4 linked regions of the Canis lupus familiaris genome follow. The protein of the gene in region 1 purifies or fractionates together with the protein of each later gene. This does not show direct contact. Links are inferred from orthologs where the notes say so. Each region holds a gene or a part of one and is shown in the gene's direction. Other genes may lie near its edges.

What was found. Proteins that work in one complex are often made in the same cells at the same time.
Region 2: the proteins of NOP2 (region 1) and EBNA1BP2 fractionate together in Homo sapiens (co-fractionation; 3 studies listed by BioGRID and IntAct, with this or other methods). This does not show direct contact. The link is inferred for Canis lupus familiaris from reciprocal best matches to the Homo sapiens genes NOP2 and EBNA1BP2.
Region 3: the proteins of NOP2 (region 1) and SRPK2 purify together in Homo sapiens (affinity purification with mass spectrometry; 3 studies listed by BioGRID and IntAct, with this or other methods). This does not show direct contact. The link is inferred for Canis lupus familiaris from reciprocal best matches to the Homo sapiens genes NOP2 and SRPK2.
Region 4: the proteins of NOP2 (region 1) and NIFK fractionate together in Homo sapiens (co-fractionation; 3 studies listed by BioGRID, with this or other methods). This does not show direct contact. The link is inferred for Canis lupus familiaris from reciprocal best matches to the Homo sapiens genes NOP2 and NIFK.

The regions. Positions count from the first base shown.
Region 1 is NC_049248.1:7,644,851-7,652,865, reverse strand, and holds part of NOP2 (probable 28S rRNA (cytosine(4447)-C(5))-methyltransferase), read left to right. Parts: intron 1-2,484; coding exon 2,485-2,530; intron 2,531-2,677; coding exon 2,678-2,766; intron 2,767-2,936; coding exon 2,937-3,184; intron 3,185-4,913; coding exon 4,914-4,969; intron 4,970-5,084; coding exon 5,085-5,239; intron 5,240-5,343; coding exon 5,344-5,543; intron 5,544-5,692; coding exon 5,693-5,782; intron 5,783-6,585; coding exon 6,586-6,673; intron 6,674-6,749; coding exon 6,750-6,890; intron 6,891-7,205; exon of another isoform or gene 7,206-7,459; coding exon 7,460-7,599; exon of another isoform or gene 7,600-7,668; intron 7,669-7,732; coding exon 7,733-7,822; intron 7,823-7,986; coding exon 7,987-8,015. UniProt on the Homo sapiens protein: S-adenosyl-L-methionine-dependent methyltransferase that specifically methylates the C(5) position of cytosine 4447 in 28S rRNA. Required for efficient rRNA processing and 60S ribosomal subunit biogenesis.
Region 2 is NC_049236.1:17,084,492-17,091,941, forward strand, and holds the end of EBNA1BP2 (probable rRNA-processing protein EBP2), read left to right. Parts: intron 1-481; coding exon 482-557; intron 558-1,031; coding exon 1,032-1,125; intron 1,126-3,480; coding exon 3,481-3,643; intron 3,644-3,751; coding exon 3,752-3,802; 3' UTR 3,803-4,202; downstream 4,203-7,450. UniProt on the Homo sapiens protein: Required for the processing of the 27S pre-rRNA.
Region 3 is NC_049239.1:15,496,046-15,504,060, forward strand, and holds part of SRPK2 (SRSF protein kinase 2), read left to right. Parts: intron 1-386; coding exon 387-552; intron 553-1,722; coding exon 1,723-1,748; intron 1,749-3,483; coding exon 3,484-3,730; intron 3,731-4,386; coding exon 4,387-4,869; intron 4,870-8,015. UniProt on the Homo sapiens protein: Serine/arginine-rich protein-specific kinase which specifically phosphorylates its substrates at serine residues located in regions rich in arginine/serine dipeptides, known as RS domains and is involved in the phosphorylation of SR splicing factors and the regulation of splicing.
Region 4 is NC_049240.1:29,904,552-29,912,566, forward strand, and holds part of NIFK (MKI67 FHA domain-interacting nucleolar phosphoprotein), read left to right. Parts: intron 1-1,463; coding exon 1,464-1,572; intron 1,573-3,586; coding exon 3,587-3,798; intron 3,799-4,950; coding exon 4,951-5,013; intron 5,014-5,835; coding exon 5,836-5,913; intron 5,914-7,463; coding exon 7,464-7,652; 3' UTR 7,653-8,015.

The DNA.
Region 1 (8,015 bases):
GGTTAATACTAGGTTAATACTGAGTAAGGTTATTAGAGGACCTACGCATTTCGAGTTTAAAAAGATTTTAATCTGGGTTTTGGAAAATGGTTGACGTTTTAGTAAGTGGAACTTGGGAAGGGAACAGACCAGTCACATCAACTGCTTTGTGGAGGAGGTGAGCATGGGAAGGCACAGATCTGATTCCCATATGGTGAATAATCTATGGCATGGAAGGCTGGGGATGACAGAAGAGTGGACAGGTAGTTTGTGTTGGGCATTAGATAAAAGATGCAGGTTTTTGAGATACTAGAAAGTGCTAGCACTGACACCCGGGTGGCTCAGTCGGTTAAACATCAGACTCTCTTTTTTTTTTTTTTTTTTTTTTTAAGATTTTTTATTTATTTATTCATGAGAGACACACAGAGAGAGAGGCAGAGACACAGGCAGAGGGAGAAGCAGGCTCCATGCCGGGAGCTCCATGTGGGACGCGATCCAGGGACTCCAGGATCAGGCCCTGGACGGGGCGGCGCTAAACCACTGAGCCACCCGGGCTGCCCTAAACATCAGACTCTTTTTTTTTTTTTTTTTTTTTTAATTTTTATTTATTTATGATAGTCACAGAGAGAGAGAGAAAGAGAGGCAGAGACATAGGCAGAGGGAGAAGCAGGCTCCATGCACCAGGAGCCTGATGTGGGATTCGATCCCGGGTCTCCAGGATCGCGCCCTGGGCCAAAGGCAGGCGCCAAACCGCTGCGCCACCCAGGGATCCCAACATCAGACTCTTGATGTCCACTCAGGTCATGATCTCCGGGTTGTGGGATCAAGCCCTGCATCAGGCTCCTTGCTCAGCGGGGAGTCTGCTTGAGGATTCTCTTTCTCTCTTCCCCTCCCCCTGCTCATGCACACTCTCTCCCTCTAAAATCTTTCAAAAGTGTTAGGCACTATACTGAATCTGTTGGACATGTTATGTCACCTCATTCTCTTAGTGCTTTGTGAAAGAGACATCCTGAAGGAAATGAATGTTAAGTAGCTTGGGCATTTGCAAATGACAGGGCTGGCATTTAAGCCTTTTATTTTTTTGGAGAATGTATGGAAAACTAGTTACTAAGGTAAAATCTGTGGCTGGTCACTGATTAAATTGAGAATAAAAGAAAGCAGAAGAGGGGATCCCTGGGTGGCTCAGCAGTTTAGCGTCTGCCTTCGGTCCCGGGTATGGTCCCGGAGTCCCGGGATCGAGTCCCGCATCGGGCTCCCTGCGTGGAGCCAGCTTCTCCCTCTGCCTGTGTCTCTGCCTCTCTCTCTCTCTCTGTCTCTGAGTAAATAAATAAAATCCTAAAAAAGAAAAAAAAAAAAAAACAGAAGAGAAGACAGTTTTGTTTGTCACATAAATCCATTTGTTATAGACCAGCAGTGTTTCAGATGGTGGAGCTTCTGCTGGTCCCTCAGTTCCTTCAGTCTTCTGATGGCAGAATTGACTGCCACAGCAGAAGTGGTGGTATAGGTCCAAGCACCACAGGCTACTCCATATTTATCATCCCATCCCCAATTCAGACCTTCTTGGGGGGTTTAGCCATGTTGCAGCAAACCAGGTCCAAGGCCAGAGAGAAAAGATTAATTTTGAATCTCTCTTGTTACCAGAATGATGGTAATACTATTTACTGAAATCAGAAGTCTGGAGGGAGGGATCCCCGGGTGGCGCAGCGGTTTGGCGCCCGCCTTTGGCCCAGGGCGTGATCCTGGAGACCCTGGATCGACTCCCACGTCGGGCTCCCTGCATGGAGCCTGCTTCTCCCTCTGCCTGTGTCTCTGCCTCTCTCTCTCTCTCTCTCTCTGTGTGACTATCATAAATAAATAAAAATTTATTTAAAAAAAAAAAAAAAGTCTGGAGGGAGGCCCAGTTTGGATTTGATTGATGAACAACCACATACAGATCATCTCTTTTACATCTCTCATCCAGCTCCTTGTAAAGCTCTGTGGAACGAATTAGAATCTACTCCCTTTCATTAGTGTATTTTTTTTTTTTGTAAGATTTTATTTATTTATTTGACAGAGTGAGAGAGCACAAGCAGGGGTAATAGCAGAGGAAGAGGGAGAAGCAGACTCCTTGCTGAGCCGGGAGCCCAACTCAGGGCTCAATTCCAGGACCCTGAGATCTGAGATCATGATCTGAGCCACAGGCAGAAGCTCAGCAGACTGAGCCATCCAGATGCCCCTAATTAGTGTATTCTTTCTCTACATTTATTTTCACTTCTAATTTTTTTTTAAAGATATGTTTATTTATTCACGAGAGACACAGAGAGAGGCAGAAACACAGGCAGAGGAGAAGCAGGCTATGTGCGGGGAGCCTGATGTGGGACTCCATCCTGGCATTCCGGAATCATGCTGAGTCGAAGGCAGACGCTTAACCACTGAGCCACCCAGGCACCCCTCTCTTCTAATGTTCTTTTTCATTTTCCCTGTAACCTATTGTTCTGCTTCTCTCTTTTTTTTTTTTAAATACAGCTGGTGATGAAAATTCTAAGAGGCTATCTAGTCGTGCTCGGAAGAGGTGAGTGTGGTTGTGCAGGTTTATCTGGATTAAATTGGTACTGCTTATCTTTAGTCCCATGATCACATGTGGAAAGGGCTGTTTGGGGACTGTCCCATTTCAGTGGCAGAGCCCAGAGGTATGTTCCATTTCCTCACTTCTTTTCAGGGCAGCCAAGAGGAGATTGGGTTCTGCTGAATCCCTTGCGATGCATAAGTTCCCTGGGGCCAAACCATTGCCTGGAAAACTACCCAAAGGTCAGTGAGTATAGGAGCTGTGTGCTCTATGACGAGTCCGCTGGGTTCTGGGTAGGGAAGGCCTTGCTGGGCATTTCTGGAGAGAAAGAAACAGGACATCTTTAGGAATAGAAAGTGTAGGTTCCATCAGCGTGTGGCTGCCGTCAGTCCAGAATTCCTCAAACCCTTAGGAATCTCTGGAGGAGCTGTCCAGACACCTGGCAAGAAGGGAGCCCAGCCCTTGCATCACGGTACTCAAGGCAAGAAGCGTCCAGCACTGACCCATAGCAGTGAGGAGGAAGAGGTGGAGGAGGAAGACTCTGAAGAGGATGGTGTGCTGAACCAGGAGGACCTCTGGGGCTCTGAGGACAGTGATGCTGATATGATAGATGACTACGGCGCCGACTCCGACTCAGAGGGCGAGGATGAAGATGAAGAGGTGAGCTTTAGTTCTGTGGGTTTTGAGGAAGGGATCCTTGCCTTTTAGTCTTTCCGGGTCCTTGAGACTCAGTGACAAGGATGAGCTGAGTAGAGAAAAGGGGTTTTAGCATTCCATCATTGTTTTCCTGTCATCTGTGTTTGCTCAATGCACACAAAAGTGTAGAAAAGCTGTAGGATTGATCATTTTGAAATATGAGACTCCTCAGTGCTGGTGAGGACCTGGTCAAGTGGATACTTGAGTGCCCCACTGAGGGGAATAGAGAGCGTACATAGTTTTTTAGTGAAGCATTTGGTGTCTGAGAACCTTGGAGAGTTTCTTCCTTTTGACCTAGTAATTCTGTTTCAGAGGAGGATCCAGAGTATGGACAGATTTATTGACTGGGGTGTAAGAAGTTATTTATGTAGGATTGCCTGGCTGGCCAGTCAGTAGAGCATGGGACTCTTGGTCTTGGGAGTGTAAGTTTAAGCCCCATGTTGGGTATAGGGATTACTTTTAAAAAGGGAGGGGTTCTTTATGTATTATTATACAGTTAGTATATGAATATGTTAGGAAAACTCAGGTGATACAAGGTGGTTGGTGGTGGTGGTGGTTTTTTTTTTTTTTTTTTTTTTTTTTTGATGAAAACAAAGTTCACATTTGCACCTTTTTCCTAGACTGCCTTTTCTCTACAGAGTTACTATCAGGAGATTTGCAGGCACCCTGTGGACTATAATGCTCCAAACTCTGGAAGCTGCCAAAATACCCAATATGCTTAAGTAAATTTTAATTTCTTTATACACTAAGTTATAAAGTGTATAAAGAAGCTTATAACTAACTAATAAGTTAACATTTGGCTATTATGTCTATGAAAGTGCTGGTGATCTGTGACTGAGAAAGGGCAGGAAACAAATTTGAAGATGCACTGGGTGGCTCAGTCAGCTAAGTTTTGCCTTTGGCTCAGGTCACGATCCTGGGATCTTGGAATCGAGTCCCTCGTCAGGCTCCCTGCTCAATGGGGAGTCTGCTTCTTCCTCCCCCCTGCTTATGTGCATGTGTTTTTTCTTTCTCTCAAATGAATAAATAAAAGCTTTTAAAAAAATTTATTCATTTGAGAGACAGAGCACATGCATGTGTGGGAGCAGGGAGAGAGGCTGAGGGAGAGAATCAGACTCCTGAGTGGGGCTCTCAGTCTTAACTACCCTGAGATCATTGACCTGAGCTGAAATCAGGAGTCAGCTGCTCAACCAACTGAGCCACACAGGCATGCCCCAGGTTCTGAACTTTTTAAGGAGAAGGGAACTACACACAAAAGTTGAACGGTTTTGGTGAAACCCCTTGATCCATTACTTAGTTGCAACAATGGTCAATATTGTACCAATCTGGGGATCCCTGGGTGGTTCAGCGGTTTGGTGCCTGCCTTTGGCCCAGGGCGCGATTCTGGAGTCCTGGGATTGAGTCCTGCGCCAGGATCGAGTCCCGCGTCGGGCTCCTGGCATGGGGTCTGCTTCTTCCTCCTCCTGTGTCTCTGCCTCTCTCTCTCTCTTTTTCTCTCTCTGTGTCTATCATAAATAAATAAATAAATCTTTAAAAAAAATACTGTACCAATCTCACATTTCACTTCTTTAGGTTCCATGCTTCTGAGAGTGTACTTTTGCGTTTAGGAAATGATAAAATACAGAGATAAAATACTACCTGGGAGGGTAGGAGGGTAGGCTTTGCATTACTAGCCCCTTGTCTCTTTTTTCAGCTGCTGCCCATTGAGAGGGCTGCTCAGAAGCAAAAGGTTCAGGAGGCTGTGGCTGGGTAAGTTTTAGAAACTCTTAAGATGGAGACCAGGCAACAGCTGGGGTGAAAGAATTGAGGGAGGAGCTGGTGTCTGTTTTATTCTGTGAATCCTTGTTTCTGAACCTGTTTCTAGGGGCCAGTGGAGTGAGGAGGAGACTGAGGAGGAAGAGGAGAAAGGGTCCCTTCAGTCATGCCCCCAAAAGGATGATGAGACAGAGGGGGGCCTACAGATCAATGTGGATGAGGAGGAGTCCTTTGTGCTGCCCCTTCCTGGGGAGATGGAGCAGGATATCCTTCCAGTGCTGGGTGAGGGGTAGGGGAAAGGTGCTTGTGAGAGGAAATTTCCAGGCTCTGGACATCATGAAACAGTTACAGTTCCTTAACACATCCACATGCCCAGGCTCCAGACTTGCAACGGATTCACAAGCGCATCCAGGATATAGTGGGAGTGCTGCGTGATTTTGGGACTCAGCGGGAGGAAGGTCGGTCTCGTTCTGAGTATCTGCACCGGCTTCAGAAGGATCTGGCTACTTATTACTCCTATGGAGACTTCCTACTTGGCAAGCTTATGGACCTTTTTCCTCTGTCTGAGGTACTGAAGTGCTAATCTAATGCCCCTTCTTTTCTTTTCTCAACCTCTCAATCTTACCTTGTGTGAGGAGGGCAGCCTCCTTCCTCTTTCCTCTTCCAGCTAAGCTCCTTGGCCAGCCTGACTTGCTCCCTGCCATTTTGCTTTCCCAGCTGGTGGAGTTCTTAGAAGCTAATGAGGTGCCTCGGCCCATCACCCTCAGGACCAATACCTTGAAAACCCGACGTCGAGACCTCGCTCAGGTAAGGGATGGATTTTGAGATTTTTGTTTTCTGTATCTCAGGGGGTTGTTGACTTTTAACTGCAGAGACTCCCCTATCTGACTTAGATGGGGGTTGAGGAGTGGGCTGTTAGTACCTAAGCATTTCTTGGTCAGGCATGATCCAAAGGCAAACTCAGGTAGGCCTAGTGTCATACTGGATTTATCTGACTGGCTTGGGGCCCGGGAACTCTGAAGTGAGAACTTGTCCCTTCAGCTTGTGCTCCCTGTGACAGGGTTGAGATGCTGCATCAGGATTAAAGTTCTGCTGCCTCAGAACAAAATGGGAGTTACCTGCTTTTTAGATCATTGAGGGGCTGGTGAAACAGATTCTTGCCCCCACACATGCACAAACAGTATTTTAAACTCACCGTTTTAGAGGGTTCAGGGGCTGTATGTTAATACTGGTGTCCTGTGGTCACTGGCAGGACCCTGTGTGTAGTCTTCCTGGTGTGAATGTAACCTACCTGATCCTTATCTTTAATGTGCTATAGCCGGTGATGTTATATTTTATAGTGGTAAGGGGGACTGAGCCTACTGGAACATCAGAGTTCAGTTCCAGGAAACCAAAGGACAGGAGCTGGCAGTCTGCTCCATTCAGATAGAGTTCAGGCCTTGAGTTAGAGCCTAAGGCTAAGGGAAAGGACGTCATGGGTGATATAGGAGAGGCTGCAAAGAGTCTATGATTGTGTTGTAACTCAGTAGAACCATATTTTTATATTTCCACCTGTTTTCTGGATATGGTAGCCTACGAGGTTATAAAATCTTTATCTTTCTTATTTTCAGGCACTAATTAACCGTGGAGTTAACCTGGATCCTCTGGGCAAGTGGTCAAAGACTGGACTAGTGGTATATGATTCTTCTGTGCCCATTGGTAAGTATCCCCTGCCCGATAGCCCCTTTGCCCCTGCCCTTGTCCCAGCATGTCACTGACTGGTCCTCCTCCACAGGTGCTACCCCCGAGTACCTGGCTGGGTACTATATGCTTCAGGGAGCCTCCAGTATGTTGCCGGTCATGGCCTTGGCACCCCAAGAACACGAACGGATCTTGGACATGTGTTGTGCCCCTGGAGGAAAGACTAGCTACATAGGTATGAGAAAGGCAGGCCAGGGTAGGAGCCATCTGGCTCTCTGCTTTTCTAAGTAAATGAGGTCGTTGACTCTCTGGTGCTCAAGAAAACAGTGCACAAGCAACTAGCAGAAAAGTGAAGAGTACAGACTCTGGATTTGGCCTGGGTTCCAGCCCCTTGTGCCACTAAGTACCCATATGACCACGGACAAGCCTCTGGTCTTGTCTTACTATGTGAAATGGGGCAACTGTGCTTGGCTTGGCAGTTATATTATACTTGAATTGTCGGGGTTAAGTTATGTTTTAGAAGTCCTTAGCAAAGTGTTCAGCATATAGCTAGTTATAGTCATTTTATTAAGCTATTATCATTTAAGTAAGTTAGTCTGGAGGACCAAAAAGATGCTTGGTAACTGAAAAAAACCACACTGGCAGTCTTACTCATCAGAGGGTGCAGGTCTAGATCTGTCCTGTAGACCATGGGGAGGAGGCCTATTCACAGTAAAGTTGCCTTGAAGTGGTGGGAATTCACCACTTCACATTTTGGGGCTGGAGGGTGGCTGGCTGGTGAGCACCATGCCTCTCTCCCTTCAGCCCAGCTGATGAAGAACACAGGTGTGATTCTTGCCAACGATGCCAATGCTGAGCGGCTCAAGAGTGTCGTGGGTAATCTGCACCGGTTGGGAGTCACCAACACCATCATCAGCCACTACGATGGGCGCCAGTTCCCCAAGGTGTGGCTCCCCTCTGTGTGTCTTCTAGTTTGCCTGTCCCCTTCTTGACTTCAGTATTGAAACTTGCCCCTGGAAAATAATGGTGTGATAAGGACCACCAAAAACACCTAATTAACCTAGCCTTTTTCCCCAGGTGGTGGGGGGCTTTGACCGAGTACTTTTGGATGCTCCTTGTAGTGGTACTGGGGTCATCTCCAAAGACCCAGCCGTGAAGACTAACAAGGTGAGGTGTTGGGGGTGGGGTGGGGCTAAGAGTGAGTGTGGGGGCTGGCTGAGAAGTCTTGGCCTAGTCCTTGCAAGCTGGGATGGGAGGTGGAGGCTCACCTCTTTTCCTGAGGCTGGCTTGTGACATTTTGACACCCTTCTATCGGTCTCTCTTTGGAATAGGATGAGAAGGACATCTTGCGCTGTGCTCA
Region 2 (7,450 bases), on another chromosome or scaffold:
TGAAAACGCTGCCTTCGAATGGAAGCATCTGTTTTTATCCTTACAACTGTTTTGCTTTTCGTTTTTTGGGGGGATTGTTTCTGTTGATACTTTCATGCCTACTAACAGTAGGGGCTAGATACAGAACCTGAGAATTGATTGTAGATCTAGATGTGACTTGCTATGGTTTTGTAGGCAGAATTGTGTAATCAGGTAAGAGTGTAGACCCCTGGGTGTGAATTCAGCTGTACACTTTCTTGCTGTGTGACTCAGGCAAGTTACTTAGGCTCTCTGTGCTTCAATTTCAGGGAGTGTTAGGAATTTCTGCTTCATGGGGTAGCTGAGAAGATAAACTAAGAATACACTTAGAGCTTTACCATAGTTCTGGCACACAGTAAATGTTAAGTGGCCGCGGTGTTAGCATAGTGTTACCAAGCGGATGTAGACACTTGCAATGATGGTGGTCTGGAGTGGGTGTGACAGCCCTATGTTCATGTCCCAGGTGCAAACAGAGGTTCTTCAGAAGAGGCAGCGAGAGAAAACACATATGATGAATGCCATTAAGAAATATCAGAAAGGTCAGTATATCTCCCTTCTAAGGATATAGGGGAGCAGGGGCCGCTGCTATTTTAACATATCCTGCTTCTAGAGCCTTGATTGATTTGGAACCATTGGACCTAAGGTTTGGGAACAGTGTGGGGAGCAGAATATGCCTCTTAAAATTAATTTAGCGGGATCCCTGGGTGGCGCAGCGGTTTGGCGCCTGCCTTTGGCCCAGGGCGCGATCCTGGAGACCCAGGATCGAATCCCACGTCGGGCTCCCGGTGCATGGAGCCTGCTTCTCCCTCTGCCTGTGTCTCTGCCTCTCTCTCTCTCTGTGTGACTATCATAAAAAAAAAAAAAAAAAAAAAAAAAAATTAAAAAAAAAATTTAAATTAATTTAGCAAGTAACCACCTTTTTTTTTTTTTTTTTTTAAGTAACAACCTTCTTTTGAAGCTTCAGTTTTTCTTAAAATGTGTTAATGCTGATCAAAGTACCTTTTCACCCCCAGGCTTTTCTGATAAACTGGATTTTCTTGAGGGGGATCAGAAACCCGTTGCACGGAAAACAAAGGAAGGAGCAAAAAGCCAGCAGATGAAGAAGGGGTATGAAGGATTCTGGTTTGGTTTTGTGGTGGGTACTGGGCAGGCAGTCCAGGGGCAAGTTGGGGAGACCATAGGAGTGGCCTCAGGGTTGAGAGAGCGCAGTGCTACCTGCAGCCAAGGCTAAAGGCCTATGTGATGGATCCTTTTAGCCATATCAGTCTTAGAAGATTAAAGTAGGGTGATCTAGGGAGCGCCTGGCTAGCACAGTCAGTAGAGCATTTGACTCTTGATCTTGGGGCTGTGAGTTCAAGCCCCACGTTGGACGTAGAGCTTACTTAAAAAAAAAAACAAAAAACTAAAGTAGGGTGATTTAAGCATCTGGCACATTTTAAGTGAATATTTAGTAGAAGTAGATTCCTCATCTCACAGCACAATGGTTAAGTGTATAGACCTAGGGTTAGGGTCTAAAGTCCACCATTTTGGGTAGTTTTGAGCAAGTTTCTTGCCTTTTTTTTTTTTTTTTTTTTTTTTGAGTTCAATTTGCCAACATATAGCATAACACCCAGTGCTCATCCCATCAAGTGCCCTCAGTGCCGGTCACCCAGTCACCCCCACCCCCTGCCCACCTCCCTTTCCACCACCCCTTGTTCGTTTCCCAGAGTTAGGAGTCTCTCATATTCTGTCTCCCTTTCTGATATTTCCCACTCATTTTCTCTCCTTTCCCCTTTATTCCCTTTCACTATTTTTTATATTCTCCAAGTGAATGAGACCATATAATGTTTGTCCTTCTCCAATTGACTTATTTCACTCAGCATAATACCCTCCAGTTCCAACCACATCGAAGCAAATGGTGGGTATTTGTCGTTTCTAATGGCTGAGTAATATTCCATTGTATACATAGACCACATCTTCTTTATCCATTCGTCTTTCGATGGACACCAAGGCTCCTTCCACAGTTTGGCTATTGTGAACATTGCTGCTAGAAACATCGGGGTGCAGGTGTCCCGGCATTTCACTGCATCTGTATCTTTGGGGTAAATCCCCAGCAGTTACTTGCCCTTTCTAAATATTAGTTGCCTCATCTGTGAAAATGAGAAAAGTGTATGCCTGCATAGCATTATGCAGACTTAAAAGGGCTAATGGCGGATATTATTATTTTCTTTCTAGTTTACCTTTATGTATCCCTAGACACTGGGGCTGGGAGAAATGATAATTTCAGTAGAATATATTAATGCCATGATAAAGATATGTAAGGAGTAGCGTAGAAGCACATTTTAGAAATAGCTGACCCGTTCTGGGGATCAGGGTGTGAGGATGGCTCCCTGGAGGAGAGCCCCACCTGAGCTTAGTCTGAAGGATGAGCAAGAATTAACCAGGAGAATAGGAGAGACACAGGTTTCAGCAAAAATGAACACAAATGAGCAAAAGCGTAGAGATGAGAACAGGTTTGTGCATGAGGAACAGCAAGGATCTGGTACTGCTGGGAGTTCAGTGTGGGGCAAGGAGAGGTGAGATGTAGCTGGAGGGGGGTCTGGGCCAAGTCACAGAGGCAGTGTGTGCCTTGTTAAGAAGTTTGGGTTTTAGCCAGTAGGCCATGGGAGAGACATTGATTGAGTAAAGCACTCAAAATAATGACCACATCATAGTCATGTATTTGAAAAATTACGGTGGTACTTGTATATAGTGTGGACTCGAGGGAGGCAGAGAATTCAATAAAGGGGCACTACAAAGTCCAGAGAGCAGTGATAATGGGCTAAAAGTGGTAATGGGGGCAGAGAAGAGAAAACAGGTCGAAGAAACATTTGAGAAGTAATAAATTAGCAGCACTCAGTAATTGTGTTGGGTGTAGAGAGTGAAAGGAGGAAGAATCAAGGCTGGTGCCCAGGTTTCTAGCCCGGGAGGCTGGAATAGATGGTAGGACCACCAACCTCAAGTCGGTGTTTATATACGGAAGGCGAAACCAGTGTGGGAAAGGGAGATGGCATGTGATTTTGGATATGCTGAATGTGAGATTCTCCGGAATGACCAGTTTTAAAATTTATTACATTTGAATGTTAACTGCCTGTACTACCCTCGAAAGGAATAGAAACGACTAAGAATGATCTAGCAAGAGTTAGTTAGAATAGAAGAAGCTTTCTAGAGATAAGTATTGAGCCGCAAGATCTATGTGGATCCTTTCCTGGTTCTTGCTTTGTTTTCTTGCACTAGTGGTTAAAACTATAAGTGGATGAGCTTGCCTGGGGAGTTTTTAAGAGTTAAGAATGCAGGGTTGAGGACGAGATTCTGGGTAGCAGTAGCGTCTAGCTCTAAGCAAAGAGCTTTTGCTTATAGACAGGAAACTAAGGATACTGATGGGCCATAAGATCCATCAGGATTTGCAGTGCTGTGGGTAACTTGTAAGCCTGCTTTTTTTAGGCCCAGCGCTAAGCGACGCTATAAAAACCAGAAGTTTGGTTTTGGTGGAAAGAAGAAAGGCTCCAAGTGGAACACTCGTGAGAGCTACGATGATGTATCCAGCTTCCGGGCCAAGACAGCTCATGGCAAGGGCCTCAAGAGGCCTGGAAAGAAAGGATCAAATGTAAGTGAGCCGTGGGTCCCATCCCACTTCTACCCGCATCTTCCTGTCCTTGGGGCAGAAGGCCAAGCTGCTTTGTGACCACATGTGCTATTATTTCTTTTTCCGTAGAAGAGACCAGGAAAACGGACACGAGAGAAAATGAAGAGCAGACCACACTAAGCAGCATCTTTGTATACAAAGAACCAAGAAAAAGGGTTGCAAACTTGGGATTTCAGCATACAGTTGGATCTCTTGTGTTGGTTTCTTTTTGTAAAAAGTTCTTTCAATAAACAGTTTTCAAAGAAACACAATCATGGTTAAAAACTCAGGACTAAAAAAAGATGGAGAAGTTACTTTTATATATTAAGTAGGATTGCTATTGATTGACGATAATTTAGACTTTGAGTCCAAATCGTCTTTTTTTTTATGATATATGAAAACTTGCACCTTCCTCATGCTTCTAAGTAATTGTATCACGATTCTAGATAAGTCAAGAATGAGTGATCGTATCATTATGATTATTTAAATACCCATCACTGTCAAGCTACGTGTACTATGATAAAATTTCCTTTGTGATACAGCTGTGGGTTTTCCTTGAGTTAATTATCACCTCATATTTTTCTGTGTGCCTGATTTTCCTTGTATATCCTTATTTTTCCTTAGACACATGTCATTCTTTCCACCTTACAGTTTCCTGTCTGTCATAACAGCTCTCACCCTGCCTCTTCTAGACCATCTGGATTGAACTCACTATTTCCTGGATCCCATTTCTGTCTTAGATTATGCCTTCTTTTGCCATGTACCATCTTCTAGTATCTTCCTAGAAGGGATCTCCTACACATCTCTGCAGTTGCCTTTAGTTTGGCTGGTGGGAGTTGTCCTGAGAATGTTGTAGGCATAGCCTCCCCACTGAAAAGTTGCTGCCATTCCCTCTCTTCTGGAAGCTTTTCCTCTCCCAGCGATCTGAAATTCCATGATGACCTGCCTTGGCGTGGGCCTGTTTTATTTCTTTGCTTAGGGTGTTTGGAAGGATGCTAGATCTTTTGTTCTGGCAAATTTTATTTGATAGCTTCTCCCTATTTTGTTGTTGTTGTTGTTGTTGTTGTTGTTTGTTTGTTCTAATTCTGGAGTTTGTTAGTCAAATTTTGAACCTCTTCTGATGATCTTCTAGGTTTGTGTTTTAGTTCCACTTTAGGGAAAAGATTTCTTTGATTCTTTTTTTCTAATCATTCAGTGAATATTTAGCTTTCATTTTACATTTTATCCCCAAGAGTTCTTATTCTTTCACCTCAGAATGTGAATTATGATTTTCGTTTTTTGAGAGTTATTCTGTTCCTTTCATTCTGTTTCCTTGGGTTTCCTCCAGCCCCTCCCTGTGCATTTTGATCCCCGTTTTTCATGTTGAGCTGTATGGAAGTCAGGAGCACTGGCTGGGCCAGACTGCTGGGTTAACACCTGTTTCTGCTACTTCGCTGTGTGACCCTGGGCGTGTTATTTTTTCTGTGCTATGTCCTCTCTGTATAGTGAGAATAATCTACCAAATACAGTTCCTGTCAATATTAAGTGAGTTAATACGTGTAAAATGCTTTAGAACATTGCCTGCCATATAGTAAGAGTTTTTACCTGCTTGGAATTATTTTGGTGGGGGGCTTTCCATAATGTCTGAGCCTTAGTGGTACCTATTTGAGAGGTACTCCGATTCTGGCTGGAAGCCAGGAATAGGTAGGACATGGATGGGCAGGTCACGTTGCATGTTGGGTTTTATTCTGTTGATAGGGTGGGAAGTTTGTTTACCTGCCCTTCCTTTCTCCATTACAGTTTAGAAACCATACATTAAGGACTAGAGATATCTGAGAACTGTATATTCTTAAGCAGAAAAAATAATTTATTTTCCCATTGTTTCCTTTCTTGTAGAGTCATTGGTATATAAAGAAAGGACGTTTCTGGTTCCCTATGATTCTAGTACAAAAAGAACGAATTTAGGTTTTGTAAAGTAATTTCAGTTAACAAAATTCCGAGCAAACAGGTCATGTTTTCAGAAGACCAAAACGTGTTACCCTGACCTATTTTTGACAATCTACAATATTAAGTGGGTGGGGGTAATGTATAGGAATTCAAAGAAAGGGCCTCAGAATCAGTTCAAGAGTTTGGGTCAGGTGTGGAACACATTGAGAGTTTTAGGAAAGGAGAACACAAGTTTACAGTTCATACCAGCAAGGCCAAGTGTAGGTCATTACTGCCAGCACTTTTAAAGACATTGAAAGCTGTGTACCTTACCTTCCTTCTTTTTTTTTTTTTCTTGTATAGCAAATGGAATCCCTTTCCTTAATTTCAGAGATAGATATACTTTGTAGAAGTCACTTATGTCACCTCTCTACCATGTCAGCCCTCACCGGGTCACCAGGGTGCAGGCAGGATTAACCTTCCCATTGCATTATATCGCAACCCCAGGCACCAAGACCTAGGTGGGGACCCAGATGGGGACCCGGCAGTTCCTGGCACCAAAGATAGGCTGTTCTTGCTTTGGGTGGATTTCCATTCCCGCGGTAGCAGTTTCTCAGCAACACTTCACGTTTCAGTTACCCAAGTATTATCAACTCTGAGTAAGGGCAGAAAGTAGAAACTTTACTGCTAGCTCCACAAATCAGTCCATAAATCATGACCAAAATAACAGATGCATAACCAGGGAGCAGCCATCCCTGCAAGAGCCTGGGTGGCAGGTCACTGCACATCTTGCTCAGTTCATGCACAGATGGCCAAGAGGGTGTGTGCATGTGGCTGGTCTCCCAGAGACCCATATTTTACAAAAATAGGCTATTAAAAGAATCCACCAACAAAGATGAAAGAGGGACAAGAAAGTGCAGGTGGTCAGGTTGGAAGTAAAATTTGAATAGGACACAAGTGGAGCCCTAGGAGAAAGAGGTGACAAGGGCATGGTGACACTTGCTTCCTGGAGACTGGGTACACGGCCAGAAGGGGAGCGGAAGCAACACAGGAAAATGATGAAAAGGCTGAAGATGTCCCAGAGGAAGTGACACCAGCAGGAAACTTCACGTTTAAGGGGCTCATGGAGGTATTTTGTAACATTGAAAGTACAGGTGACAAAATGGTGGAAGTGAATCCAAATTTAGGAGTAAGACAGTTTGCCAAGTTTTCTCTGTGTCATGTGCAAGGAAAAAAAGGCAAGCACTTTTTTTTTATAAATAAAACACTTGGTTTTCAATGTTTTTAATATTTTAAATTACAGTCTACTAAATACTAGTTTTACTATTTTCTTTTTATGCATTTAACAATAGGGGGTTTTAGTACTTTGATGAACTTTTTAAAAAACTTTTCATCACCATATTTTGAGGAGAGCATAAAGTGGATATGCAGAGATGTGAGTCTAATTTTCTGATCCTAGTGTAAATTATAAGAGCTCAGGTCCCTGGTTCTTTCTCATTACAGAATTGTTGGTTCTGAGAGTAATCACTGCTCCTGCAGGTCTGTTCCTTTAAATACAGCACGTTCTCCTCCCCAACACCAAACAAAATAGAATATGCTGTTAGGCTGTACACAGGCAGTGCTCACACGCACCATAGTGCAGGGCCATAAAAATGAGTTGCTTGCTGAAATCATGCAAGGCGATCTTAGTAAATTTTGATAAATTGTTTTAAAGGTTATGAAGGTAGAAGGGTGCTCAGAGCTCCCATGCCCTCTTCAGGTATGACATCTTCCCTGCACCTTGATGCATCCACCAGCCTGGAAGCTCTCCAGACTCCAGTTTCAGGGTTTTTAGGAGGTTTCACTATGCAGGCACGGTTGATTAAGTCACTGACCACTGGTGAT
Region 3 (8,015 bases), on another chromosome or scaffold:
CTCCCATTGGGTAGGTTTTGTCTTTTCTGGGTGATGAAAATGTCCTAATTTATGTAGTGGTGATGGTGGATATCTAAAAACCATCGAATTGTACACCTAAAAGGATGAATTGTATGTAAATTACATCTCAATAAAGTCGTTATAAACATAAGTATGTGTATAGATGCATTTGCTTCCATGAACATAAAGAATCTCCAGAATGATGCACATTGGTTGTTTATGGGAAGATGCTGGGCTCCTGTGAGGGTGGGGGCAGGAGGGAGATTTTTACTAGAAATTTGTGTCAATTTTATTTTGTGCCTTGTGATTATGTTACTTATTTTTACAAATGTTGAACAGTGAAGGTATTAATAACTCCTCTCTTCTCTTGATTTTACAATGACCAGGTCCTCCAGGGGTTAGATTATCTACACAGTAAGTGCAAGATCATTCATACTGACATAAAGCCGGAGAACATCTTGATGTGTGTGGATGATGCATATGTGAGAAGGATGGCAGCCGAGGCCACCGAGTGGCAGAAAGCAGGTGCTCCTCCTCCTTCCGGGTCTGCAGGTGAGGAGCTAAGCCAGCTTTGTTTCAATTTGTTTGGGGGCATTGAGAGCCAGCAGAGTTGCACACTGAAAGCAGTTGAGTCAAATACTTGTTAAGAACTTTTGAAAGAGTCTGACAGCTAGAAATAATAAGACCTTTCTCTTAAAAAGGTCTTAAAAAGATGCCCCAATTAAATTATGCTTTAATATTTGAGTTACTTTGTCCTCCCTTAAACAGTCATTTGAAATCCTACGAGCTGTTTCATCGCCTGCACACTTCTCTGTGAAGGTGTACATGGTAACAGCTTGCTTGTAGCTGACCTATAGTCATCAGAATTTTCTTCCGGTTTTAGGTTTGTTAGAATGCTTCCTTGTCTCCAGTTAGTCTACATCAATCTGAGTCTAACTGGTGAATTTGGAATTAGTTACAAAAGACCCAAGGGTGGGAGAAGGCCAGATACCTTGAGTTTATAGAGTTTTCTATATATAGAGTTTTCTATCTGGCTTCCATGGAGTGTAACGGCTACAGTAACATGTTGACCACTTTCCTCATCTCTTCATGTTATCCACACCCTAGTGCATTGTCCGGCAAGTGTGCAGACTTAGGGTCTGAAGTCCTGTGACTGACAGGACTCTTGGGAGCTGCGCACTACCTCCTAGTCTTGTTTTTTACCTTTAGGGTGTTTTTTTAGATCATAGACCTATGGTCAATCAAGCTGGCAAAGACTGGTCATGTGACTTCTAGAGTATTTATTTCTGCTGTATAGACTTGCCAAAGAGTTTTCAAACATAGATGTGCATCTCCTAATTTACATTCATCATTTTATTGTCTATAAAATAAATTTGGTTAGATGACTATGTGATATTTGTGAACTCTTACCCATTTTCTTAAGTTATCAGTCAATGCTTTGGTATTGACTCTCTTTGAAATGAATGGGTATTTAATTCTAGATAAATAAGGGAAGTGGCCCAATGAACAACTACTTCTGTGCCTTTGAAGAGCCAGTCATTTGTTTGAGATGGATAAACTTTCTTCAGATCTCTGTGATTAAGAAGCTCTGTAGTTTTAACAGTTTTGAAGTTGGATAGCCATTAAAAGGCAATGATTACCTTCATTTTACAATTGAGATTACCTAATAAAGATACAGATCTATTTTCCTCTAAACATTCATTTTGTTTCATTTTGTTTTAGTGAGTACGGCTCCACAACAAAAACCTGTAAGTATTTACACATACACTTATATTCACCTTCACGTCAAAAGCAACTGTTCCTTATTGAGCTTTTCAAGTTGTAACGTTAGTCTCTGTTTCTCTCTGTCACAGTTTTTCATTTAAGATTGTTTGGGCAAATGGATTTTGTTTTTGTTTTTTTTTTTTTTTTGTTATGTTCTCAATTTAGATGTTTAATCCATCTTGATGTAAAAGATGGGCATGTTGATAAATGTTATGTATCCTTGAATATATGAGGCTTACTGTTTTCATAAGTTGAAGTGATTTTTAGAGTTGGAATAGTTAGAGCTTTTCCAAGCTGGATCTTCATTTTCCCTGTTCACTTTCTAGGGTGCTGTTAGCTGACTCTGGTGAAATGTGACATGATCAAGATAGAGTTCGAAGTGTGATTTTTACAAAACACTTAACATTATTTCTGATTTGCCTCCAAGATACCCATTTTTCTGAAGCTTGTACTCTAATTTGTTTTCCTAGCCACTAGTTAAATATGGAAAAGAGTATTGTCTGTTTTGTGGTCCAGTCATATGAAACAAGTTGCTTGGAATTAAAACTTACCCTGATGTCCCTAAACCTGTTTAGTTCCAGTAGAGGATAGAATGAATATATATATATGTATATATATATATATCTTGAGTTGATGAGTCACCTACAAGTTTTGAAAGAGCTTTATGAACCAGAAGCATTTGAAAGGAAATGTCGAGAAATTCAGAGTGCTGCCAGCAGCCCTCACTTTGGAATGAAAGTCCCAGTACAAGAGGGAGTTGTAATAATTATGCCACCTGGCTTACTGAGGAGCCGAATCATTGCCTACAGTCCTGCTGTGGTTTGAGCAGCTTGTTTTGATTATTGATTCTATGGAAAGACTGTAGGCTGTCATTGCCAGCACTTTCCCAGTCATGTGGCCCTGATAGGAGGCTGACTGAAACTGTGGCTTTTTCTTTTTTTCCTTTACTTCATATGTTCATTGCTGACAGTTTCTGCAGTCCCAGCTGTTGACCCCAGCTCGTTGTGTGAGACTCAAACACCAGCATTACTGTTGACCAACCATGAAGGCAGTACACCTGTGCTGGCAGGCCTTTCTTTTATGGCAGGTAGTTGGGTAAGACATTAAGGAGAGGTGATACTGTTGGTTTGTAGATAGGCAGCAATAAAACTTGCAAGGGGTGCTTCTTGTTTAAAGGCCGGGGTATCTGAGCATTTTCCATTCTTAGAGTTGAATTGAAGTGGACTTCTTGAATTGGAGCTGTGTCCCTCTAAGGACAGGGACTGCTAGTCGCCCCCTACTTGATGTAAGGCAGCACTGGTTTCTTTTTTTTTTTCTGGTTTTATTGTAACCCTAACCACAAGGTGGGTCTCCTGTCTGGGGACTTAGTCTTTTTTTTTTTTTTTTTTTTTAATTTTTATTTATTTATGATAGTTACACAGAGAGAGAGAGAGAGAGAGAGAGAGAGAGGCGCAGAGACATAGGCAGAGGGAGAAGCAGGCTCCATGCACCGGGAGCCCGACGTGGGATTCGATCCTGGGTCTCCAGGATCGCGCCCTGAGCCAAAGGCAGGCGCCAAACCGCTGCGCCACCCAGGGATCCATGGGGACTTGGTCTTAATGAATAAGACCTGAGGAAACATGATTTGTTGTTATTTGCCATGTTGCTAGCACAGGTAGTCTTGTGGAGTGCTTTAAAAAGAAGCAGACTGACCTGTGGTATTTTCTTCCCATGTTGTAGATAGGAAAAATATCTAAGAACAAAAAGAAAAAACTGAAAAAGAAGCAGAAAAGGCAGGCTGAGTTATTGGAAAAGCGCCTGCAGGAGATAGAAGAATTGGAGCGAGAAGCCGAAAGGAAAATAATAGAAGAAAACATCACATCAGCAGTACCTTCCAATGAACAAGACGATGAATACCGCCCAGAGGGCAAACTGAAAGCTGCCGGCTTAGAGGATGCGGCTGAGAGCGAGCCTGTGAATGACAACGGTCAGTCTGCACGGGGTCCTGGAGCTTCCTGAGTGAGCACCTGCTGGGTCACCACATAGGCTGTGGTTGGGGAATATGGGAAACCGTCTGCCACTTCATTTGTAAAACGAATGCCAGAAATATGTTAGTATTTTAAAACAGTTTTTTAAAAAATGGAAAATGTCTAACACCATGTCTCAATCATACTAATGATTATTCTTTATTTTTTAATTAACCTTTAACCTAATAGTAGTGTATTCACAGACATTTTCTGAAGATTGTAGAAGAGAGGGTAGAAGTAGAAAGGCAACTCTATAAAGAGTCATTTTCCTCCAAATCTAACTTTTTCTAATAAGAGTTAGCCAATTATTTACTGAATGAAAAAATGAGATCTAGAAAACCTATGATCTTACCCTGAGAACCAAGAGGTGCTTTGCTTTGTAGTACATAAATCAAGCATATTCGGGGGTGCCCAGCTGGCTCGGTCAGTGGAGCATGTGACTCTCTTGGGGTTGTGAGGTTGAACCCCACATTGGGGGTTGAGCTTATTTGAGGGAGAAAAATAACCCTAAATTAAGCCCACTCAAAATTGTCCCTTGTTGGAGGAAATATGTACCTAGTGCCACTGTGTTAAGGAGAGTAACGCATTCTGATTCTTAACCCATCAACTTTTTAAGGCGAGGCTGAGGACCAGGAAGAGAAAGAAGACACCGAGAAAGAAAACACTGAGAAGGATGAAGATGATGTTGAACAGGAATTGACCAATGCAGACCCTGCCTGGATAGAATCACCCAAAACCAATGGCCATATTGAGAATGGCCCGTTCTTACTGGAACAGCAGCTGGATGATGAAGACGATGAAGAAGAAGATTGCCCAAATCCTGAGGAATATAACCTCGATGAGCCAAATGCAGAAAGTGATTACACATATAGCAGCTCCTATGAACAATTCAATGGTGAATTGCCAAATGGACGGCATAAAATTCCTGAGTCACAGTTTCCAGAGTTTTCCACATCATTGTTTTCTGGGCCCTTAGAACCTGTGGCTTGTGGCTCTGCACTTTCCGAGGGATCCCCACTTACCGAGCCTGAGGAAAGCAGTCCATCCCATGACAGAAGCCGTACGGTTTCAGCCTCCAGCACTGGAGATTTGCCAAAAAGTAAGTGTCCTTCCCCGCCAGGTGTCTGCTTTCCGTGGTCCGAGTATCATAACCTTGACAAATGCTGTGAAGGGAATTGGCCTGGAGGTGGCCAAGTCATTCGTGTATGTATGCATTAACCATTTTCGCTGTATTACTTTTGTAATTCTGAATAAGTAATGTAATTTAAAATGTATTCTGTACCACTTAGGCTTTCTCTTGCGTTCTGAATATCAGATCCCATTTCTGAGCTTTTCTTATTCCTTCTATAGTTAGTGACATCTGCAATTGCAAAAACCTTCCAGGTCCAGCAGCTTACATGTACGATAGCTTTTATAGAATATGTAGTTTATAATTTGTACTTCCATCTGATAGTGTTATATTTAATTTTTGGTTTTTGTTTTGTTTGTATTCAGGGAAATATACCGGCTCTTTGTATTGAGGAAGAAGTCTCATTTCATTTTGATGGTTGTTCCTGATTGTAGAACTCTGCAACTGAAACGTTAAAGCTATTTTAAAGGAAGTGGCATGTGTTTTTAATGTGATTATGACTTCTGTCAAACCCTTGAGAGTGAATGCCACATGACCTGTCCCTACCTGTGTCATGCAAAGGGGCTCCAGTAAGCAATCGCAGATGGTTTCCATTCTAGCCCACAGAGGAATAGCTCGGAAACCTCCTCTGCTCCCTCTGCTGACAAGAGTGTTTAACACATGATGAGTCAGTTGACCCAGCCCTGCAGATAGCACAGGGAATCCTGCAGCCCCTGGAGTCCAGCAGGGGAGACCTGCAGAGCTGTCTTTGTTACTTACTGGCTGTAGCTAATTATTCTAAAGATGTGGGTTGGTTTGTTTGTTGTTTTGGGGTTTTTTTTGTGTGTGTGTGATATCTTTTTTGTTTTTACTTGAGTAGACATATCCTATCCTGTTCCTTTTTACTTTAACCAAGGATCTTTGAAGGTGCTTATAAAATGTTTTCACACAGAAGGTAGGTTTACCTAGGGAAAGACTCACCTCTGTGTGTCTCCTTCACTCTCACACACTACTTCTGACACCTTTGGTCATCAAATGTGTGTGTTGGGGGTTTTCCGTACACCAGAAGCTTTTCCAACACCAGCTGGGTCTCCTAAAATTTATTTTTTTTAATTTATTCTTTCTTTTTTTTTGTTTTGTTTTGTTTTTAAGATTTTATTTATTTATTCATGACAGACATAGAAAGAGAGTCAGAGACACAGGCAGAAGGAGAAGCAGGCTCCATTCAGGGAGCCCTGACATGGGACTCGATCCTGGGTCTCCAGGATCACACCCCGGGTTGCAGGCAGCGCTAAACTGCTGGGCCATTGGGGCTGCCTAGGTGTCCTACAATTTAACGTGATTTTGACGCTGTCTGGAGACAGCATCAGATTCCACAGGTTAAAGGCTCAGTTCCCACAAGACATCGTCATACACCAGTGGCAAGTCCATGTTGGCACCCGTGCTTCTGACCTATCAGCTGTGAATCAGAGGTTCCCATGGACCCCTGTTCAGGTTCAGTTAATTTGTTATAGCAGCTCACAGAATCAGGAAAAGAGTTCACTTGCTAGGTCACTAGTGTATTATGAAAGGATATAACTCAGGAGCAGGAGCAGCCAGATGGAGGAGATGCAGAAGGTGAGGCTTTTGTGCTCTTTCCAGGCCTGCCGCTTGCCCTGCAGTCTCTCACATATCCCTTCATATCATGCACACACGGATTCTTTGTTCTTCTAATTAACACCTTGGATTATGTCTTATAATCATTTACAGCTTCTTGTTTCCTGATGCCAGAATTGTCCCAAATTTGGTCCACGTGAGCCTTTTCCAGTTGTCTCTTTTGTCCTGTTGACATAACCCCATTTTTCTTTGTGTCCTTCCTCGCTTTCTAGAACCACATCCTCAATTCACAGTTTCTCTGCCCCAGGCTGGAGTCACTTTCTCAAAAATCTCCATTTTTGAGATTTTTTTTAACCTTTTATAGTGTTCATAATTATAGGAACAGTAGCATGTTAAATTTACAAATATGCAAACATTTTTTATCGATGGAGCAAACAGTGAAAAGTTCTGCAATCATGACTATGGCATAGCTTCTCCTCAGTTTATTTTCAAGCTCTAATAAAGACTGTGCAAATGCACTTCTGTGCCTTTCTGATGTCTTTCCCTTCTGCTTGGAATGTTTTCTCCTCCGTATATCCATTGTCCTCTCAGCAAACTTATTCTTGTGCCGACCACCACTCAAACACAAGCCCTACGTGGGTTCCCCAGCAGGTCTGTTCCCTCTCCCCTCTTTACCTACTGCTCATGCTTTTCTTAACTGAATGGTCATTATTTCCACTATCTTTTTCTGCAGTGGGATGTAAAATCTCAGAGCACTGTGCGTTTTTATCTTTGTATCTTCAGCATCTAACTCAGTGCTGTGATAAACCTTTATTGAATAATAAACAAACAAATCAGTGATATCTGATTATATTCTTCTCCTCTTTGTCCCGCCTTTCCCCTTTCACCATCAGAATTTTATTCTGTCTAGCACACGCTCCATCCCCAGCACCCTTTCTGGTGCACAAATGTCACATCAGGGAGAAATAGGGGGTCTGTTTTTCACGTTGATCCAAATCTCTTCCCAAGCAGATCTTTCCAATATTGCTAAATTCTAGGTACACACCGGAGACAGGATCGCCCTATCTAATCACTTGTCTGAGGCGCTCCGTTTTGTTTCCTGCCCCAGAGGTGGGTGGTTGGCCTCTGACTACTGCGTGGACACCAGACAAGAGAAACAGGCTGTGTTCAGAGTTGCTGGAGATCCTTGTGTTACAGCAGAGTGCACACACATTAGGGAGTAGCTGAAGGCCAGACAGAGAGGATGGAGGGAAGAACTTCGGTGCAGGTGGAAGGATGTAGACTTTTCCCTGGAGTGACTGGGTAGCCGCTGAAGACTGAGAAGAGGAGGCAGGATTCCTTTTGGATTATTGGTTGCTGGAGTCACAGCATGCATCTTGGCCTGTCCCATCTGGTCCTGCTGGCTTTCCCTGCCAAGTAGTCCTCCTCACCCGACAGGGTACCAGGTGGCTGCCAGTTGTGGCTCCTCACTGCCTGGCCTGTCCTCTGAGGGCTGTCCAGAGAGAGCTTTCCAATGCACATCCTGTCATCTTCCCTACCTC
Region 4 (8,015 bases), on another chromosome or scaffold:
TGGCTTTTTTGAAGATTTCGGGTCAGTTGTCTTATAGGAAGTTTGCTTCTTAAAGAGATGCACTAAAATTTACCATTTCCAGCATTGTTGCATGATAAAGTTGCCACCTTCCTGACTCACCCCAATTTTGACTGTTTGCTCAATACTTCAACGTTCTGGGATTACTAGGTAAAATACTTAAAAGTGTTTGGCTCTTCATTTTTATTTATTATTTATTGTAATCTCTAAATCCAACATGGGGCTCAAGCTTACAACCCTAAGATCAAGAGTCATATGCGCTATCAACTGAGCCAGCCAGGAGCCCCTGGCTTTTTTGGGTTTTGTTTTGTTTTCTTTGTTTTAGTCACTTGATACGTATTTTCACATCTCTTTTCAGAAGGTTTATATCATGTGATACAGTAATTGGATTTCACAGCCTGTCTCTTCAACTCCACCATTTTCCCCTCCCTATTAAAGATGGAATTTTAAAGGATTTGGGGACATAAAAATTTTTGCCAAAATCCTCTTTTTGCAGATAGCTAAACAATGTGCTAGTTCATGGCACCACTAGTGCTAGAAATGTGCCTCCTGGTCATTGAGTGCTTTCCTATTTCCATAATTGCATCACCAGTTTTGATCCATATCCAAAGATATGTTTAATGCAAAATTGTGCAGTACTGCTTTTGTTACTAATAATTGGAACTGTAAAGGAGGAGAGTTGTTCTACTACCAGTTCTTATGTATAAAGTGAGACTAGGACTACCTGCATTCTTTGCAAAGCATTGCACTATCTGCTGGGCATTGTTAATACATGAATAAGGTGGCTTTCAATGAAATTGGTAATGTATAAAGGACTGTGGGCTCTACCAGATTTCCTTGTGTAGTAAATTCCAGCTGCAGTAGTAATGTATTAATCATGTAATCAAAATTCCAGGGATACTTCAACAGCATGTTCAGACATTTTGGATCCTTTTGTTTTTCTTTCTTTTTTTTTTTAATGTATTTTATTTTCAAATATATTTTATTTTTATGTAATCTCTACACCCGGTGTGGGGCTCAGACTCACAACCCTGAGATCAAGAGTTGTATGCTTTTCTGATTCAGCCAGCCATGGATGCCAGATCTTTTTTTTTTTTTTTTTTTTTTTAATTTTTATTTATTTATGATAGTCACAGAGAAAGAAATAGAGAGAGGCAGAGACATAGGCAGAGGGAGAAGCAGGCTCCATGCACAGGGGGCCCGATGTGGGATTCGATCCCGGGTCTCCAGGATCGCGCCCTGGGCCAAAGGCAGGCGCCAAACCGCTGCGCCACCCAGGTGGATGCCAGATCTTACCTATTCCTGTTACAGTCCCTGCACTGTGCATTGAAGTTAGAATTAAAGGTGTACTGTTAATAGACAATAGGGCTAAATTAATGGCATTTTAGAACTTTGATGATCTGTTAAAATTTAATCAACTGTTTGTGGTGGGTTTTCCATTGCAGACTGGAAATAGTAAAGGCTATGCCTTTGTGGAGTTCGCATCTGAAGATGTTGCCAAGATAGTTGCTGACACAATGAACAACTACCTTTTTGGTGAAAGGCTTTTACAGTGTAAGTGCTCTTCTCTTACCATGGGACTAAGTGGACGCCTGCTGCTGGTTCATGGCTGTGCTGTGAATGACAGATTGCTTACCTGCTTGGCTGTCCCACTTCATCTCTGGGATGATTCTCCTAAGTATTTAAGTGCAAAGATACGAGTGCATTTTCTAGACAGATTCTAGTTAGAATTTTAAAATCTTCTAGAGTAAGAGCTGTTTTTATTCTAAGATGGAATTGGGACAAGGTACTACATTGGAAGAGCAGCCAACTCATCACTAATGGGATATGGAAGGCTTCCTTAAAGAAGCAACATTTAAGTTGAAATCTGAAGATGAGATAGGAATGAGCCGGGGGAAGGGAATTACCATCCCTGGCTTGGTGAGATAGGATATGCATAGCGGGAGGTAACTAACAGTACTTATTTGGTTGTGAAGGAATGTGAGGAGAATAGCAAGAGGTCAGGTTATTAAAGGCCTTAAAAATCTGGAAGTTTAGAATATATCCTGGGGGTAGTGGGAAGCCATTAACAGGTTCTAGATAAGATAACATTATAAAGATGGGGCACCTGGGTGGCTCAGTCAGTTAAGCATCTGCCTTTAGCTCAGGTCATGATCCCAGGGTCCTGAGATCAAGCCCCACATCTGGCTCCCCGCTCAGTGGGGAGTCTGCTTCTGTCTATACTCCTCACCTCCGTCCATGTTCCCATGCGTGCATGCACACTCATCTCTCTCTCAAATAAGTAAAATTTTTTTTAAAAAAAAAGGATAACATTAAAAGCAAGAAATCACATTTGAGAATCCATCTAAATGATATTGGCTGCAGCTCTTCCACAGGCGAAGCCATAAGGAGTAGAGAAACAACACCAAATTAGTCTATCCTGCAGAAAGTGGAGCTGCTCACTTTGCATTCCCAAAGCATCCCTATCTGCAATTGGGTGCCTCTGGAGGCAGTTAAGTTTGCCTTCTCTGTGCCATTTGTGGAGTGTTTGACCATACCACGTGCCCAAGCCACACACGTCAGTTCATGTAGCTGACGAGCTGCCCAAGTATCATCTCTCTCTCGGTTCCTGTTGCTGTGACAGAGAATCCCAGTAGCCTCATTGAGGTCATGGGTTCATTTCACACATAGAAAGCATGGCTCTTCCCAAGAGGAAATGGACTAAATAGGTGACCTAAAATGTGTCAAGGGTCCACATGGGTAGGATCGGTGCTGTGCTGTTTCTGACTTTGAAAAACCACAGAAAAGATCCTGAACTCTGATAGGAGGTTAGCCACATTGTCTTTTTCTTTTTTCTTTTTTTTTTTTTTTTTTTTTTAACAGAAGTGACATATTTTTGAGGTGAGCCCAGGAAAATACTGATAGGGAGTAGAGAAGTGAGACAGAAGCATTGAGGGTGGATTAGCAAGCACATTACTTCTTAGGCAGCTGGGCTCCATCCTGCCAGGTAACACGGGAGACAGAATTATTCCGAATTGACAGGTAAGGGAAATAGGGAATTTACCTACCAACTCCCCATCCGTCATTGTTTGAGGGTTGATGCCAAGGGTTTTGGCCTGCCTTGCATATGGGCCCAGTTCCTAGTAGTTGGTTTAAGCTTCCATAGCTTAAAAGTGCCACTAAGAAGAGAGCTGGAGATAAGCAGTAAGCTGGCTTAGTTCTAGAGAGGTATGCAGAGGAGATTAGCTGGGAAGTAATTCCTTCTGCTACAGCAGGTCACACAGCCTGAGATCCTGGTAGCTTCAGGAATCCCAGAGACTTGCCGCCACCAAGACATTTCTTTTATAGGACTCATCTTGTTCGCTAACCTGTTTCTAGCTCCTGGAACAGTTCTTGGCATTTAATAAATAGATACTTAATGATAATTGTTGGCTGTAAGCCTTTCTTTTAGATTCCCATTTTGTTGTTTCAGTCTTTTCCCTGTAAATGGGAGACATGTCCTCTTGATTATGATATGAGGGGAATGACAGTGGTGAAAACCTTAAAATCTTCCAGTTGGTTGAAAATTTTTTCTTTCTTTGAACTATAGGTCATTTTATACCGCCTGAAAAAGTACATGAAGAACTTTTTAGAGAGTGGTATATTCCATTTAAAAAGCCATCATATCCAGCAGTGAAACGGTATAATCAAAATCGGACACTTCTTCAAAAGCTACAGATGGAAGAACGTTTTAAAAAGAAGGAAAAATTACTCAGGAAGAAATTAGCTAAAAAGGGAATTGATTATGATTTTCCTTCACTGGTAAATATTCCTTCACGAAATGTTTTTGTATTTTTTTCTTGGGGGTGGGTTTTGTGCCTCATTAGTTGTAACATATTTATGGTTTTATGCATAAATTGTCTAGCCCGGTGTTTATCCCATGCTAGGCTTTGCCTTAATTTTGAAACATTACATTATGGGTTCTTTTTTTTCCCTAAAGATCTTCTTTGAGAGAGCACAAGTTGGGAGGGCAGGAGGGAGATGGAGAAGCAAACTCCCTGCCCAGTGGGGAGTCTGCTCTCTTCCTCTCCTCCCCTCTCCCTACTCAAGCTCTTTCAAATGAATAAATAAAAATTTGTTAGAACAAGATCCTGTTAACTCCATTATGCAGAAAAGGAAACCATTGAAAGGGGTTAGCTCATTTGCAAAATTCTCATGATTTGAAATATATAACAAGACGACTTGCATGAAAATGAGTTAGCACAGAGTTTTATCCAGTTCTTAGTTCCTTGCTTGTTGAATAAGGAGACCTTGTGGAGTCTTTCCTCCTCGTCATTAGTGGAGGAGAGCTGTGTGGTTTTTACTGCAAAGCAAGAGTATAGGTCATTAAGGTGTGGACAATATAGGTGAAGGCCTTTTTTCTTCCTTGACTAAGTCTTGAGATTGATTTTGAGTCTTCTATACCTCTCAGCTTATTTCCAAAAAACTACTTAGTTGGTGGGAGATGGCATCTATTTCTGAGTTTATTAGATCTTTTAACCTTATCTAGCAACTGGAAATTTAGCTACCCTCCCTGGGCCCAGTTCCTAGTAGTTGGTTTTTTGCTCAAATCTGTACGTGTGAAAAGAGCATGTGTCACTGTTCCAGGGACCCATGGGAACCACGTGGGAACTGGGACAATGAAGCTGGAAAACAGGCATGCCAGAAATGCCTCTATGCTTGCCCATTTGCTGCTTTGTGTGGAAGCAGCCCTGCTTCATTATCTAATTCTGAATTTGGGCCCCATTCAGCCTTCATAGCCTGAGCCCATTCCTTAGTTAGGCCCCTCTTACAGTTTTGCCCTTAAGGTTGTGGTTTTGCTTTTTAAGTTAAAATGCTGTGTTATTTGGAGAAGATTTACTGATAACGTGTAAGGATCTAATGGTAATTTAAAAATATAAATATGTGAGACTACCAGTTCATTTCTTTGTTTAGATTTTACATAAAAAGGAAAAAAATGCTTCAGACACTGGTCTTGAGAAGCCTACAGATAGCCAGGTAAAATTTTAATTATCATACTACATGCCAGATTTATTTTTGTATGTTTTTTTATTAGAGTTCAATTTGCCAACATACAGTGTATCACCCAGTGCTCATCCTGTCAGGTGCCCCCCTCAGTGCCCATCACCCAGTCACCCCATCCCCCCGCCCACCTCCCCTTCCACTATTCCTTGTTCATTTCCCAGAGTTAGGAGTCTCTCATGTTTTGTCATTCTGTGATTTTTCCCACTCATTTTCTTTCCTTTCCCCTTTAATCCCTTTCACTACTTTTTATATTCCCCATATGAATGAAACCGTATAATGTTTGTCCTTCTCCGATTGACTTACTTCACTCAGCATAATACCCTCCAGTTCCATCCACATTGAAGCAAACGATGGGTATTCGTTTCTAATGACTAATATTCCATTGTATATATAGACCATTCTTTATCCATTCATCTTTCCGATGGACACCGAGGCTCCTTCCACACTTTGGCTATTGTGGATGTTGTTGCTATAAACATTGGGATACAGGTGTAGGGGTTTTTTTTTTTTGTTTGTTTGTTTTAAGGTTTTGTTTATTCATGAGAGAGACAGAGGGGGGCAGAGACACAGGCAGAGAAAGAAACAGGCTCCATGGAAGGAGCCCGACATGGGACCCAATCCTGGGACTCCAGGATCACATCCTGGACCAAAGACAGACGCCTAACTGCTGAGCCACCCAGGCATCCCCTACATGCCAGATATTAGGGAAAGATAAATGGGAAAATAGATTCAAGATTTATTTATTGCTGATAAATAGGCAGATTGATGAAGTTTCTCTCTTAAAATTTATTGAAGGTCTTGCCGAAAAAGAAGAAGAAGAAGAAGAAGAGTTCACGTACTACTACCACTCCTGAGAAGACCGTGGATAGCCAGGTAAAACAGTCTATAGTATGCTGGGAAATGAGGTATTACAGAAATGATTTGAAAGAGGAAAAGCTGGGGCACCTGGCTGGCTCAGTTGGTAGAATGTGGGACTCTTAATCTCAGAGTCATAAGTTCAGGCCCCATGTTGGGTATACAGATTCCTTTTTTTTTTTTTTTTAGATTTTATTTATTTATTCATGAGACACAGAGAGAGGCAGAGACACAGGCAGAAGGAGAAGCAGGCTTCATGCAGGAAGCCCGATGCAGGACTTGATCCCGACCCAAGCCAAAGGCAGATGCTCAACTGCAGAGCCACCCAGGCGTCCCTAGAGATTACTTTTAAAATAAATTAGTAAATAATTCTTCTAAGATTTTATTTGCTTAAAAGAGGGAGACACAGGGCAGCCCCGGTGGTGCAGCGGTTTAGCGCCGCCTGCAGCCCAGGGCATGATCCTGGAGACCCTGGATCGAGTCCCACATCAGGCTCTCTGTATGATGCCTGCTTCTCCCCCTGCCTGTGTCTCAGCGCCTCTCTCTCTCTCTCTCTCTGTCTCTGTCTCTGTCTCTCTGTGAATAAATGAATGAATAAATAATCTTTAAAAAAAAAAAAGTTCATTTAAAAAAAAGAAACGGGATCCCTGGGTGGCTCAGGGGTTTGGCGCCTGCCTTTGGCCCAGGGCACGATCCTGGAGTCCCGGGATCGAGTCCCGGCATGGAGCCTGCTTCTCCCTCTGCCTGTGTGTCTCTGCCCCTCTCTCTCTCTCTCTCTCTCTCTCTCTGTCTATTATAAATAAATCTTTAAAAAATAAAAAAAATAAAATAAAAGGTAAAAAATAAATGAGGTGCTGAGTGAGCCACAGTATGTTGTGGATTTGATTGTCACTCCTAACCTGAGACCCACATCTGCGGTCTTGTGCTAACTTTTCAACCCTAGATACTTAGGATGCACCTCTTTAAAAAAAAAAAAGAAAGAAAAAAGAATAAAAGAGGGAGACACAGATATGAGAGACAGAGAGTGAACACAAACATTGGACAGCACACACCCCACCCCACCCCTGCCGCCACCAAGCGGGGAGCCCCAAGTGGGGCTCCATCACAGAGCCCCAGGGTCATAACCTGAGCTAAAGGCAGGGACTTAACTAAGTGAGCCACCCAGGTACCCGTATTAAAAAAAAAAAAAAAAAAGGAAAAGCAAGTTTGTGCTGCTTTCACGTTATTAAAATATCAGGTTTAACCTTGTGTTTGTTTTGGTAAGTCCTTACTGATGACTTAGCAAATATAGTGAGGTTAGCAAAAGTTATTGTGAATTTACTGCATTGTAACTAATTTTAGCAAAGTAACTATGTCAGTAGGGGGAAATGAGGCCGCTGTCTTTATAAATGTAAGACAGTTTTTAACCTAATACCCTATAATGGGGCATGTTATATTCTAGTTCATTGTAAACTTCCATACTAACTTCCTAAAGTATAGGGCAGGTGATAAGGGGGGTGGGAAGGTTAAACTCATTCCTAATACCTTCCTATGTTTCTGTATTCTCACTTGTTACTCGTTGAATCCAGGGCTCCACGCCAGTTTGTACACCAGCATTTTTGGAGAAACGAAAATCTGAAGCAGCTAAAATAAATGTTGATGATGAAGATAATGAAATAGTTTTTAAACAGCCCGTACCTGGTGTAAAAGAAGAAACACAAGAGACTCAAACACCTACACGTTCAAGGAAAAAAAGACAAAGAAAAAGCAATCAGTGATTCTAAATGTATATTTCTTCTGGAAGATGTGATTTTATTGTGAGGGCTGATTCTTTGTATTTAACTAGCAGTGGAATGCAACCATTGACAAGATTCTTGGAGGAAAAACTGTCAGTTCAAGTCCGTACGGAAAGCGGTCAGCTGGCTTACCTGCCGTTGCTGAAATGCACAGATGCATAGTTTACAGTAGCTGGGCTCATGCTGCCTCTTTGTCCTGGTCTCTAGATTTCTTTGCAGATTTCAGCTATCTTTAGTTAACTTGCCTGAATAGAAAAGTCATCATTTTACTGCAGTTTTTGTTGTTACCATCAAATAAAATAAAATCTTGTTTGACCACATGGTTCTCTGTTAGGCGTGCACCTT